Linked DNA regions of Ovis aries. The protein of the gene in region 1 purifies or fractionates together with the protein of each later gene. This does not show direct contact. Links are inferred from orthologs where the notes say so. Each region holds a gene or a part of one and is shown in the gene's direction. Other genes may lie near its edges.

Region 1 (3,645 bases):
GCTGAGATTCGAGAAAAGACTCCTCCACTGTCCATATAAAAACAAGTTGTGGGTGACCCCTCTCGTTCCAGGGACGTTCCAAGTACCCTCTTAGGAGTCAGCCCTGAATGCAGCGAGTGCAGGGAGGGGATGGGCTGAGCAGTGGTGCTGCGGTTTGTTTCTCTTTCCCCACCCCCACCCCGGAAGAATTAGTCGACTGGCCCCAGGGCTCTGTCCAAACTAGAGACAGGGTGGCCTTGAGTCAAAGGAGCTGTCCTAAGGCAGCTGCTCTTCTAGTTTCTACCCCTGGTCATGTGCACTCCCTCATACACATACAGATACACACACAGGTTGGCAGAGACAGTCTACATAGACACACACACGCACGCACACAGGTTGGTTGTCCTTACAGTCTTTCCCTGGCCTGAGGGTCAACATGGTCCAGTGGGTCTATTCAGAAGCCAGGATGGGGGATCACTGCTCAGGTCATCTGGCCTGGGCTGGGCTACAAGTCTGTGAGTCCCACCCTTGGATCTGACCTGAGCCCCCAGGGTGAGACCCAGGGGGACTGGGAGGTGGGGGTAGGGGTCACACGGGGAGAGCCCAGCTGGCACTTTCGGCAAAGCAGTAACTCCCTCCTGCTCCTCTGCTGCCGGATGGGGGTGGGGAGCTAGGCAGGGGGTGGTGTACGCACAGGGGTGCAGAGGCCAGGTCCCACAGGGCTCAGCCCTCCCTCAGCTGGTTAATCATTGCCAGCCCACGGCCATATCCTGGTTACAGCTCTCAGTGCTAAGACTCGCGCTCCCGGTTGCCGTGGGTGGGCCCACAGGTGCCCGCTGTGTGTCTCCTCACCAGTGCCACCATGTGGTGGCTGATGGTCTCCTACAGCTCAGGTTTTGGGGTTCAGGGAGAACGGGGCTGCAGTGGGCAGGCTGACAGTTGCCAAGATGAGGCTTCACCCTTCTAAGAAGACAGCCCCGCCGGCCTACTTCTGCCTCCTCCCCACCTGACCCCCCCCCACACAGAGGGGTCCCGCTGCCTGGGGGAGGGAGCCCCTCTCTGCTGAGTACTTGCACTCCGGGAGTGGGAGGAGGGTCCTGCCTTCTGGAGCTGTTTCCTGAGCCCTCCCCTCCTAGCTATGGTGCCCCAGGGGTGGAGTTCATGGGCCTGCACCGCGAGAACAATGCTGTGGTGCAGATCCACTTCCTGCCTGGCCAGGTGAGCCCACCCCACGCCCTTCTTAGTGGGTTTGGTGCTAATGAGAGGACCCGGGACAAACTTGCCTTTTCCCAGCCGCAGTTCATGACCCGCATCTCTGCAATGACACCCTGGGCAGCCCCGGTGTGTTGAGGCCACGGGAACACTGCCCCGCCCTGGTTAATGAGACCGGCCACTCCCGCCCCGTTCCCTCCCCAGTGCCAGCTGGTCACCCTGCTGGATGACAACAGCCTGCACCTGTGGAGCCTGAAAGTCAAAGGTGGGGTGTCGGAGCTGCAGGAAGATGAGACGTTCACGCTACGTGGCCCCCCAGGGTGAGAACTCAGTCTTGTCGCCCCCAGCCAGGAAGCAGGCTGGGCTGCGGGCTGCCCCCCCCCACCCCATCCTGAGCCCCAGCTCTCTGCCATCGGTCTGCAGCCTTGGCAGAAAACAGTAAATATGTTTATGCGGTCTGAATCGCTGTGGACGCCATTAAAGGGCACCCCAGGCCTGGGTGTCCCTGGCGCCACTGAGGGAATTGCGGGATTCCGCCCCCCCACCCACCCCCGCCGTGGGTCCCCCTTTGCCTGGGCAGTAGCCGGCTCACAGGCCGTCCTTCCCATCTGCAGGGCTGCCCCCAGCGCCACGCAGATCACTGTGGTCCTGCCACACTCCTCCCGCCAGCTGCTCTACCTGGGCACCGAGAGTGGCAACGTGTTCGCAGTGCAACTGCCGGCCTTTCACGTGCTGGAGGACCAGGCCATCAGCTCAGACGCCGTGCTGCAGCGGTGAGCCCCGGGCCCCTCATGCCCGCAAGGTGGACGCGGCCCACTCCCTTCCACCCCAGTGATGCCTCAGGAGCTTATCATTTCTCTCCTAGAAAGTCTGTGGGGACAGGAGGGCAGACTCTGAGCACCCCCCAACCTGTCCCCCAAACTGAGAATCTCGCCCTCCAAAATATTAGCACCCCAGCACCAAAAGGGGTCTTGGGAGTACTTGTCATCCCATTTAAAGAGGAGGAAAAGGAGGCTCATAAAGACCGTGCAACAATGCCGCTCTCAGCCCGGTGTCCCTGGCACCGGTACCACCCCTTTCAAAGCCCGGGGGCTCTGCCACAGGGCAGACAAGGCCCAGACCTCCCTGGTCGAATTCTGCTGATGCTCACATTTTGGAGTCTTGGCTACTTGTTCGCTCACAGGCAGGCTCCACGGCCCCAGACACCCGACGGCCACAACGTGTAGGGTTCTTGGGATCGTTTCAGAATCTTTGCTCCTGGACGGTGGTGTCTGAAGTAGAGAGGAGTTCAGATCAGGTCTGGGAATGGGGAGGGCGTGCCAGGTCCCCAAAGGGAGGCAGCGGAAGAGTCCAGCAGGAGCCGGTGGAGACCGCAGGGCCGGGATATGCAGCCCCTTCAGGCTCGAGCTTCCTCAGGGCTCCGGCCCATGCTTGGGGCTGGGTCCCTCTGAGCGCTGGGCAGGGTAGAGTCACACTGGGCAGTGTGACCGTGGTTGGAGCAGGACTGTTTGCAGGGGGCCGGGCATGGCTGGTGCTCAACAGGGCCGCCTGGCCTGCAGGCAGGACAGCGGAAGGACCTACTCCTCATTGTGGCCGAGCCAGCACCCACCTCACCCACACCGATGGGCATTTAGTCGGTCAGGGAGGAGCCCTTGCTGGGCTTTCCTAGCCTGAGTGCCCTGGGAATCCCTCCTATGAGTTTAAATCCTTGTTTTAAATGTACCATGTTAGGTTTGGGTTTGAGCATAGAAGCGCCCTCAGGATTCAGGCTGTTTCCATTTCATCCTTGGTGTTGGCTCTTGGTCCCGTGCCTGCTGCCTCATAGGCTTCTGTTGGCTGCAACACCTCCAGACTTCACATCAGCATTCCAGGCCCAGAAGAGGAGGAGGGGCTCAAGGCCACAAGAACTGATAACAGAGTTTTGTTTTGTGGGGCTTAAAAACTATTTTTATGGAATGCCACTGCCTTACAGAAATGCACTAAATTTGAATGTACATTTTAACAGATTCTTGTTAAGCGAGTGTCCATGCAGCCAACTCTGGGCAAAGACAGAACTTTGCCAGCCCCGCCCCTACCAACCCAGGATCCCCCTCCTGCCCCTCTCAGTCACAACTCCCTCCCTCCCCCAGAGGTAACCATCACATGGACTTTCCTAGAAACCACATCCTGGCCTTTCCTGGTGGTTGTACCCCCTGTGTCTGCATCCTTGGGGGGTTTTCTCCGTCTCTATGCATTCCTTCTCTCTCCCCTTGACGACGCATCTTAGCAGTCTTTCCATGCTTGACACGTTCAGCGCCCACTGCTTTGCAGGTGCTATGTGTGTAGTTAATGGGTGGCCAACACTCTCAGCCGTGCTGCGTTGGTGGCTGGTGACCTGGCTCACAGTGTCCCTTTGCCCAGGTTGCCAGAGGAGGCACGCCACCGGCGGGTGTTTGAGATGGTGGAGGCTCTGCA
Region 2 (3,745 bases), on another chromosome or scaffold:
CGCTTAGATGACTTACAAGCCGCCCTTATGTATGCGGGGGATGATCTGCATGCTTTACAGGTACAATTGAATTGCGGTGTCACTGGAATTTCACTACTTTCTGTTTGCCCAATATGCCCTACAATGCCACTGAATATCCTTGGGAACAAATAAAGTTACATCTTTTAGGTTCAAAATCAAACAGTCTAGATATAGAAAAATTGAAGCAACAAATCACATCTACCTTCAGCAGCATTCCCCCTGTGTTATAGAACACTGACTTCTATAATGCACTATCCACTAGTACCTCCTTTCTAAATCCAAAAAATTGGGTACCCCATACGATGGCTACTTATGCGCTGATCTGTTTATTGTTTGTTATTGTTCTTGTAGGATTCCGAACGTTATGTGCCCGAGTCACCTCCGTCCAAAAAACAGGAGTAACTGTGGCTGCAGCAGTCCTTGCTCTTAAGGAAAAAGGGAGGAGATAAGGAGGAGCTGGAAGGCTTTGAGCAGACATGGAAAATGTATTTGCTCCACTTATGACGAAGGTTGGGAGCTGGAACGAGCATAACGGAGGGTTATGAGCGTGCATCGAGTGCCTGAGGCTGGAAACGGATGACGAAGGGTCAGTACGCCCGGCCTTGAAGCGTTCAAAGGCTTCCTTATGACCACCTGTTTCCTGGGAGCAAGGACTGTTGTTTCACGATAAGACTCCCTTTAGAGTTTTGCCAAAGTCACGTTATGTCTTAGGTGGTGGGAACTGTATTTTATGCTTGAATGCTTTAATGTTTATCTGGAATGGCTACGTGCAAGTCTGCCTTATGCTCTATTCCCTGAGAATTATAAAACTGCGCAGCTGGATAATCAACTTTGTCAGTCCACTAGAGGCTGTCCCTGAATGTTCCTTTCAGAGCGCGGTTCTCCGAGCCTTACAAGAAGCAACAGTAAACACAGTTTTCTTTGTAGAAATTGCTCATGGTTTCGAATAAGTGGATGCCTCATTTTTCATAAATTCTAAATGAAAAGCCAACAGTTACTCAATATTTGCATTTTAGTCACAGTGTAAACAATTATTAATCTAATCAACAAGTATTTATTGAAGCATCCTATGTCCTATGAAATTTAGATCATTCCATTCTCCCAGAATCCTATGAAATACTATTATGCCCAATTTCCAGACAGGGAAAAGTTCTGACAAAAAATTTACACAACTGGTGAATATTAAAACGGGACTTCCACTCTAGACTTCAAACCCACAGCTCTAAACCATCAAATCTGGAATAAACGCTTGCTGATTCTGTTAGTTAAAGCAGTAGACCCCCAGAAGCCTCGCGATATTACTGGAACTACTGATCCCAACATGCACAGCGGCTCCTGTGAGGCGGCCTAAGCCGCAGAGTCCGCGGGGTCCCGGCATGCCTCGAGGCGCGAAAGGCAACCTGGGAGCTGTAGTTCTCCTAGGCACCTACCGGTATTGCCAGCGCGGCGGTGGCGGACCGCTTGGTTCCAGTTTGTAGGTCCTGTGAGGGCGAGCTGAGGCGGAGAAAGGGCGTGGAACTGGAACCGGGTGAGTCAGGCACTGTCTACGCGATAAAGGGAGGCGGCACCGCGGAGCGGGGCTGACTTAAGTCAGCGCGGCAGTCTTTTCAGGGACACAGCGGTCTCGGCGTCAGCGAAAAGAGAGCGAGGAGGCGCCAGAGCCCGGTTCTCGTCCTTCTCTCCCCGCCGCCCTCTTCACCATGCAGTCCCGGGAAGAAGCTCCGCGCTCTCGCCGCCTCGCCAGTCCCCGCGGCGGGAGGCGTCCCAAGAGGATTTCCAAGCCCTCAGTTTCGGCTTTTTTCACGGGCCCGGAGGAGCTGAAGGACACGGGCCATTCTGCAGCCCTGCTGGCCCAGCTCAAGTCTTTCTACGACGCGCGGCTGCTCTGTGATGTGACCATCGAGGTGGTCACCCCCGGCAGCGGGCCTGGCACGGGCCGCCTTTTTTCCTGCAACCGTAACGTGCTGGCGGCCGCGTGTCCCTACTTCAAGAGCATGTTCACCGGCGGCATGTACGAGAGCCATCAGACGAACGTGACCATGCACGACGTGGACGCCGAGTCCTTCGAGGTGCTGGTCGATTACTGCTACACCGGTCGCGTGTCATTAAGTGAGGCCAACGTGCAGCGCCTTTACGCGGCCTCCGACATGCTGCAGCTGGAGTACGTGCGGGAAGCCTGTGCCTCCTTCCTAGCCCGCCGCCTTGACCTGGCCAACTGCACGGCCATCCTCAAGTTCGCCGACGCCTTCGACCATCACAAGCTGCGATCACAGGCCCAGTCCTTTATAGCCCACAACTTCAAGCAGCTCAGCCGAATGGGTTCGATTCGGGAAGAGTCGCTGGCAGATCTGACCCTGGCCCAGCTGCTAGCTGTCCTGCGCCTGGACAGTCTAGACATCGAGAGTGAGCGGACCGTGTGTCACGTGGCGGTGCAGTGGTTGGAGGCGGCTCCCAAGGAGCGGGGTCCCAGCGCTGCAGAAGTCTTCAAGTGTGTCCGCTGGACCCACTTCACTGACGAAGATCGGGGCTACGTGGAAGAGCTGCTGACCAAGCCCATTGTAAAGAAGTACTGTCTGGACCTTGTTGAAGGGGCCCTGCAGATGCGATATGGTGACATGTTGTGCAAGTCCCTGGTGCCCAAGCCAGAGAGCAGCAGCAGTAGCTCTGTTGTGTCCATAGCAGAAAATCCACCCCAGAGGCTGGGTATGTGTGCCAAGGAGATGGTCATCTTCTTTGGCCATCCCAGAGATCCCTTTCTGTGCTATGATCCATACTCGGGGGACATTTACACAATGCCATCACCTTTGACCAGTTTGGCTCACACTAAGACTGTCACCTCTTCAGCTGTCTGTGTCTCTCCAGACCATGACATCTATCTAGCTGCCCAGCCCAGGAAGGATCTCTGGGTGTATAAACCAGCCCAGAATAGTTGGCAGCAACTTGCCGACCGCCTGCTCTGCCGGGAGGGCATGGACGTGGCATACCTCAATGGCTACATCTACATCCTGGGTGGGCGTGACCCCATTACTGGAGTGAAGTTAAAGGAAGTGGAGTGCTACAGTGTTCAGAGGAACCAGTGGGCCTTAGTGGCTCCTGTACCACATTCCTTCTATTCCTTTGAACTCATAGTGGTTCAGAACTATCTTTATGCTGTGAATAGTAAGCGCATGCTCTGCTATGATCCTAGCCATAATATGTGGCTGAACTGTGCTTCTCTTAAACGGAGTGACTTTCAGGAAGCCTGTGTCTTCAATGATGAGATCTACTGCATCTGTGACATCCCAGTCATGAAGGTGTATAACCCAGCCCGGGGAGAATGGAGGCGTATTAGCAATATTCCCCTGGACTCGGAGACCCACAACTACCAGATTGTCAATCATGGCCAAAAGTTGCTCCTCATCACTTCTACAACCCCTCAGTGGAAAAAAAACCGGGTAACTGTGTATGAATATGATACAAGGGAAGACCAGTGGATTAATATAGGGACCATGTTAGGTCTTCTGCAGTTTGACTCTGGCTTTATTTGTCTCTGTGCTCGGGTTTATCCTTCCTGCCTTGAACCTGGTCAGAGTTTCATCACTGAGGAAGATGATGCACGGAGTGAGTCTAGTACTGAATGGGACTTAGATGGGTTCAGTGAACTGGACTCTGAGTCAGGAAGTTCAAGTTCTTTTTCTGATGATGAAGTCTGGGTACAGGTAGCCCCTCAGCGAAATGCACAGGA
Region 3 (3,745 bases), on another chromosome or scaffold:
AGGATTTCGGTTTCCGCAGCCCCGCTTCCAAGAGCGCTCTAGACAGGAAGCACCCACGACATTGCTCACACCTGACGATGTCTTTCTTCCGTTTCTCGCTTCTGCCAGCCCTGGCAGAAGTCTTCCTTCTCATCAGACAGGCCTATGGGTGCTTCTGACCCTTCCGAACCCTTTACCTTTGGCCTGTGCTAGACTACGCCTTAGGATGTTGCCTCCGTGCAGAACCTCTGCCCAAACCATCTACCACCTGGCAGCTCTAACGGACAGATGGACCCAAGGGGGTCAGGCTTCCGTGAGTCCAGTATCACCCAAGACAACGTTGAAAATCAGCCAAAACAGACCCCTTTCCTGGACGACGGGAGGAGGCTAACAAAATCTTGGCGGAAGCGAGCAAGGGAGAAAAAGTGTGGACGTCCCGGGCGAGTCAACCGGGCTTCTCTCCCCTGCTCTTGATTTTGCGGACGGGAGTGAACACCCACCCGGCAGCGGCGTCCTCGGGGGCGGGCCCGTGGGCGGGGCTCGGGGCGGGGACTGGCCGGGGGCGGGCCGACGAGCCCTGGGTGGGGCGTCGGGTGAGTCCTCGGGACGGGGGGCGTGTCCTCCAGACTCGGAGGGTGGGGCCTCAGGGCGCGAGGCTGGGCCTTGAGGCTCGTGGGGCGAGTCCCCGGGATGTGAGCCGGGTTTTCTCAGCGCCGGGCCAGTCCTTAGGGAACCGGATTAGCGGCGGGTCTACAGGGCGCCGAGCGGGACGTGGGCCCTTGGGGCTCGTGGGGCGGGTCCTCGGGGCTCCGGGCGGGTCCTCGGGGGACGGGTGCTCTGGGCCCGGGGCGGGGACTGGCGGCGGGTATTCTGGGCGCTGGGCAGGGATTGGTGGCGGATCCTCCGGGCTCGGGGCGGGACGTGGGTTCTAGGGTATCGGGGGGCGGGTCCTTGGGGCGGCGCGCGCCGCCGTACCCCGCTCCTCCCGCGCGCGGCCCCTTGAGTGCCCAAGGCGCGCGGCCAGCCCTGCTCGGGCCGCTGCACTCGAGCTGCCCCGCGGCCGAGCGAGCGCGGGCAGGGGCCGGGGCCGGGGCCGGGGCCGGGGCCGGGGCCGGGGCCACGGCGGCGGGTGGCGCACCCAGGGTCCTTCTGCAGTCCCCATAGCGAAGAGCGAGGGCGAAGCCAAGGCTAAGCGGGGCCGGAACCATGAACCGGAGTTTCCACAAGTCTCAGACCCTGCGCTTCTACGACTGCAGCGCGGTGGAAGTCAAGAGCAAGGTGAGCCGGGGGCCGGCAGTCTGCGCACCCCCCCCAACGCCCCACGAATGAATGGGCACCCCGAAGGGGACTGGGCGGCGCGAGAGGGGCCGGCGCCGACCACAACTTCGGAGCGCGGCGCGCGTCCGTGAGATGCGCCGGGGTCCCTCAGTCCTTCCCGCCCCTGCGCGCGCACAAAGCCCGGCAGCCCGGTAAGGTTCGGCTCGAGCCCCGGCGCTCGGAGGGCCGCGCGGCCGCCCGACCCTTTGCGAGAGTGGCTCTTTTGTTCCACAAGCCGGCGGCGATCCGGCGCACCGCGCGGTGGAGGGGCGATGTTTCCGGGGCGACCCGGGGGCTGATCGGATTCGGGGCCCTGGAGGGGCCTTGGGGGCCCGGGCCGGGGAAGGGCCCTGGCTGCGCCGCCTCCTTCGCAGCGGAGGAACCTTGGAACCGGCGAGGGGGAGACACGCAGCGGGTCCTCGATCCCCGGACCGGACCCCCAGTCCCCAGCACGGCCCTGCATACCAGCCCCTCAGCCTCCCGACGCGCCCCAGGCCCAGATTCCCCGGGCGCGCCGGACCAGCGGCCCCTCCCGCTGCCCGCGCCCGGGCCCAAGCGTGCCCGAACTTGCGGGTGGCTGTGCGCTTTGGATAATTGGCTGATAGGATCTGGCGCTTCTGCCCGTTGCGGGGGCGGCACCTTCGCGGCAGAAGCTTTTGTCTGCGAGGGTCTCAGGGGTGGACCTTGCCGCAGATGAAGAGCAGCAGTTGTTCGGGGTCCTGGAGGAGGGGGCCTCGGGCGTACCGCTGCCTGGGATCGGCTTTCGCCCCTTCTCTGCGCTCCCCCCGCTCGGCGCGGTCAGGCAAGGAGGAGAACCCCAGTGGTGGTAGACGGGCCAGACCCGAGGGTGGGCTCTGACCTCCAAGTCTGTGCACACTTGGTCGCCGGCGTGTGTGTCCTGGTTCGCTCTCTGGGAAGACTAACCCGATGGCCCCTGTCTGGGCTGCCCGTACCAATCAAGGTGGGGTCCTTTGACATAGGATTTGCAAGGCTTCCTCCGAGGATGGGGGTTCTCTGCAGGAGTCCCACAGAATGAGTTGTGGGATTTCGTCACATCTTGTTGGGCAGTCTATTTATGAACCCTCATATCTAATTACCTCCAATGCTAATTCTGTGACCCTGGCCCAGCACTCATCTCTTTTTAGCCCCAGAACTCCCCACACCCCCAAATCAAAAGTGACCTCTGTGAGTTGTGTGGGGGGGAGGAACCAACAAGCCTGAGTGGGAGCACCAAATAACTGACGTTTCTTCAACTCAGTGGGAATGTGGCTTCTTAGAACTCATTGTCCCCTGACAATAGCCACTGAGCACCCATGGTGTTTCACTTTAACTATTTATTTTGAGATCATCATAGATTAACAGGCAGTTGTGAGAAAGAACACAGAGGCTTCCCCACAGGTACCGTCTTGTATCACAGTGTCACATCCAGGGCCTTGCGGTGTTTTCAGGTCAGTTTGTCATGCGTGCGTTCCTGAGGCAGTCTCCACGAGGACCACTTCCATCGCGAGGGGACCTCCTGGCAGCCTTTCACCCCTGCAAGGTGGCTGTTTGGTTCTAAGTGATGAACACCCCAGGCTGTTCACGAATCTCGCTGGCCGAATGCCCTGGGCTCTGCAGCCATGGTGGCAGGCAGCTGCCTGACCAGATGCAACTCCGGAGGGCTAGCCCTGGAGGAAATGCCCTCACCAGCCTTTATCCTGCAGTCGTGCGCTCTGGACACGGTGGACCCCTGAGGCCTGAAGAGTAAGAGTCTGCCTTTGCCTCTCCCAGGGAACTGGGGGCCATAGGTGTTCTGGTGGCCCAGTGGGTTACCTCAGGCTGCCCCTCCTCCTTGACCCCCAGTGAAGAAGGAGGGCTGCCCCATGGCCCGAGCCTGGGTTCAAGTTCAGATGCAGTGACTGCTCCACCAGGGGTGAGTGGCAGAGGGGCAAAGTTTTGGTTGAATTTGGGAACAGTCCTGGAGGGCCACACCAGGCTGGGCCCTGCTGGGCTGGCTGGTTATACACACAACACCACCGCCCCAGGCCCTTTTCGATAAGGTGGTTTGTCTTACTGTCTGTCCAGTGGGGCCACCTGGCTCCCCCTTCTGTACCACTCTGTCACCCACCCACGGAGTCCATCTCTGCAGGGAGCCTTATTCCAGCTGCTCTTGTCAAAATATGGGAGGCAAACCATTATGACAGTGATGTTTTTATCCAATCTAAATGGTTCACCATAACACCTGGGTTTGCATGTGAAGAAAAATCGTGCCAAAATCCAGCCAGTTCTACCACCCAACCTTGTGAGCTTTCAGACAAGTCATTTAACTTTTCTGAGCCTTAGTTATTTCATATGTACAATGGTCATTGAACCTATTCTGGTAGCCCGACAGGATCAAATGAGGCAATGAACGGTAAAGCACCTGTAAACTGCAGGGCACCCACAGTTGTAAGAGCTAAGCCTTGCAGAT

Evidence for each region.
Region 2: the proteins of LLGL2 (region 1) and KBTBD7 purify together in Homo sapiens (co-immunoprecipitation; 4 studies listed by BioGRID and IntAct, counting the BioPlex papers as one, with this or other methods). This does not show direct contact. The link is inferred for Ovis aries from reciprocal best matches to the Homo sapiens genes LLGL2 and KBTBD7.
Region 3: the proteins of LLGL2 (region 1) and PARD6G purify together in Homo sapiens (affinity purification with mass spectrometry; 4 studies listed by BioGRID and IntAct, counting the BioPlex papers as one, with this or other methods). This does not show direct contact. The link is inferred for Ovis aries from reciprocal best matches to the Homo sapiens genes LLGL2 and PARD6G.

What each region holds. Positions count from the first base shown.
Region 1 is NC_056064.1:55,338,187-55,341,831, reverse strand, and holds part of LLGL2 (LLGL scribble cell polarity complex component 2), read left to right. Parts: intron 1-1,115; coding exon 1,116-1,197; intron 1,198-1,395; coding exon 1,396-1,511; intron 1,512-1,805; coding exon 1,806-1,964; intron 1,965-3,591; coding exon 3,592-3,645. UniProt on the Homo sapiens protein: Part of a complex with GPSM2/LGN, PRKCI/aPKC and PARD6B/Par-6, which may ensure the correct organization and orientation of bipolar spindles for normal cell division.
Region 2 is NC_056063.1:11,790,204-11,793,948, reverse strand, and holds the start of KBTBD7 (kelch repeat and BTB domain-containing protein 7), read left to right. Parts: upstream 1-1,441; 5' UTR 1,442-1,721; coding exon 1,722-3,745. UniProt on the Homo sapiens protein: As part of the CUL3(KBTBD6/7) E3 ubiquitin ligase complex functions as a substrate adapter for the RAC1 guanine exchange factor (GEF) TIAM1, mediating its 'Lys-48' ubiquitination and proteasomal degradation.
Region 3 is NC_056076.1:518,215-521,959, forward strand, and holds the start of PARD6G (partitioning defective 6 homolog gamma), read left to right. Parts: upstream 1-988; 5' UTR 989-1,185; coding exon 1,186-1,257; intron 1,258-3,745. UniProt on the Homo sapiens protein: Adapter protein involved in asymmetrical cell division and cell polarization processes. May play a role in the formation of epithelial tight junctions. The PARD6-PARD3 complex links GTP-bound Rho small GTPases to atypical protein kinase C proteins.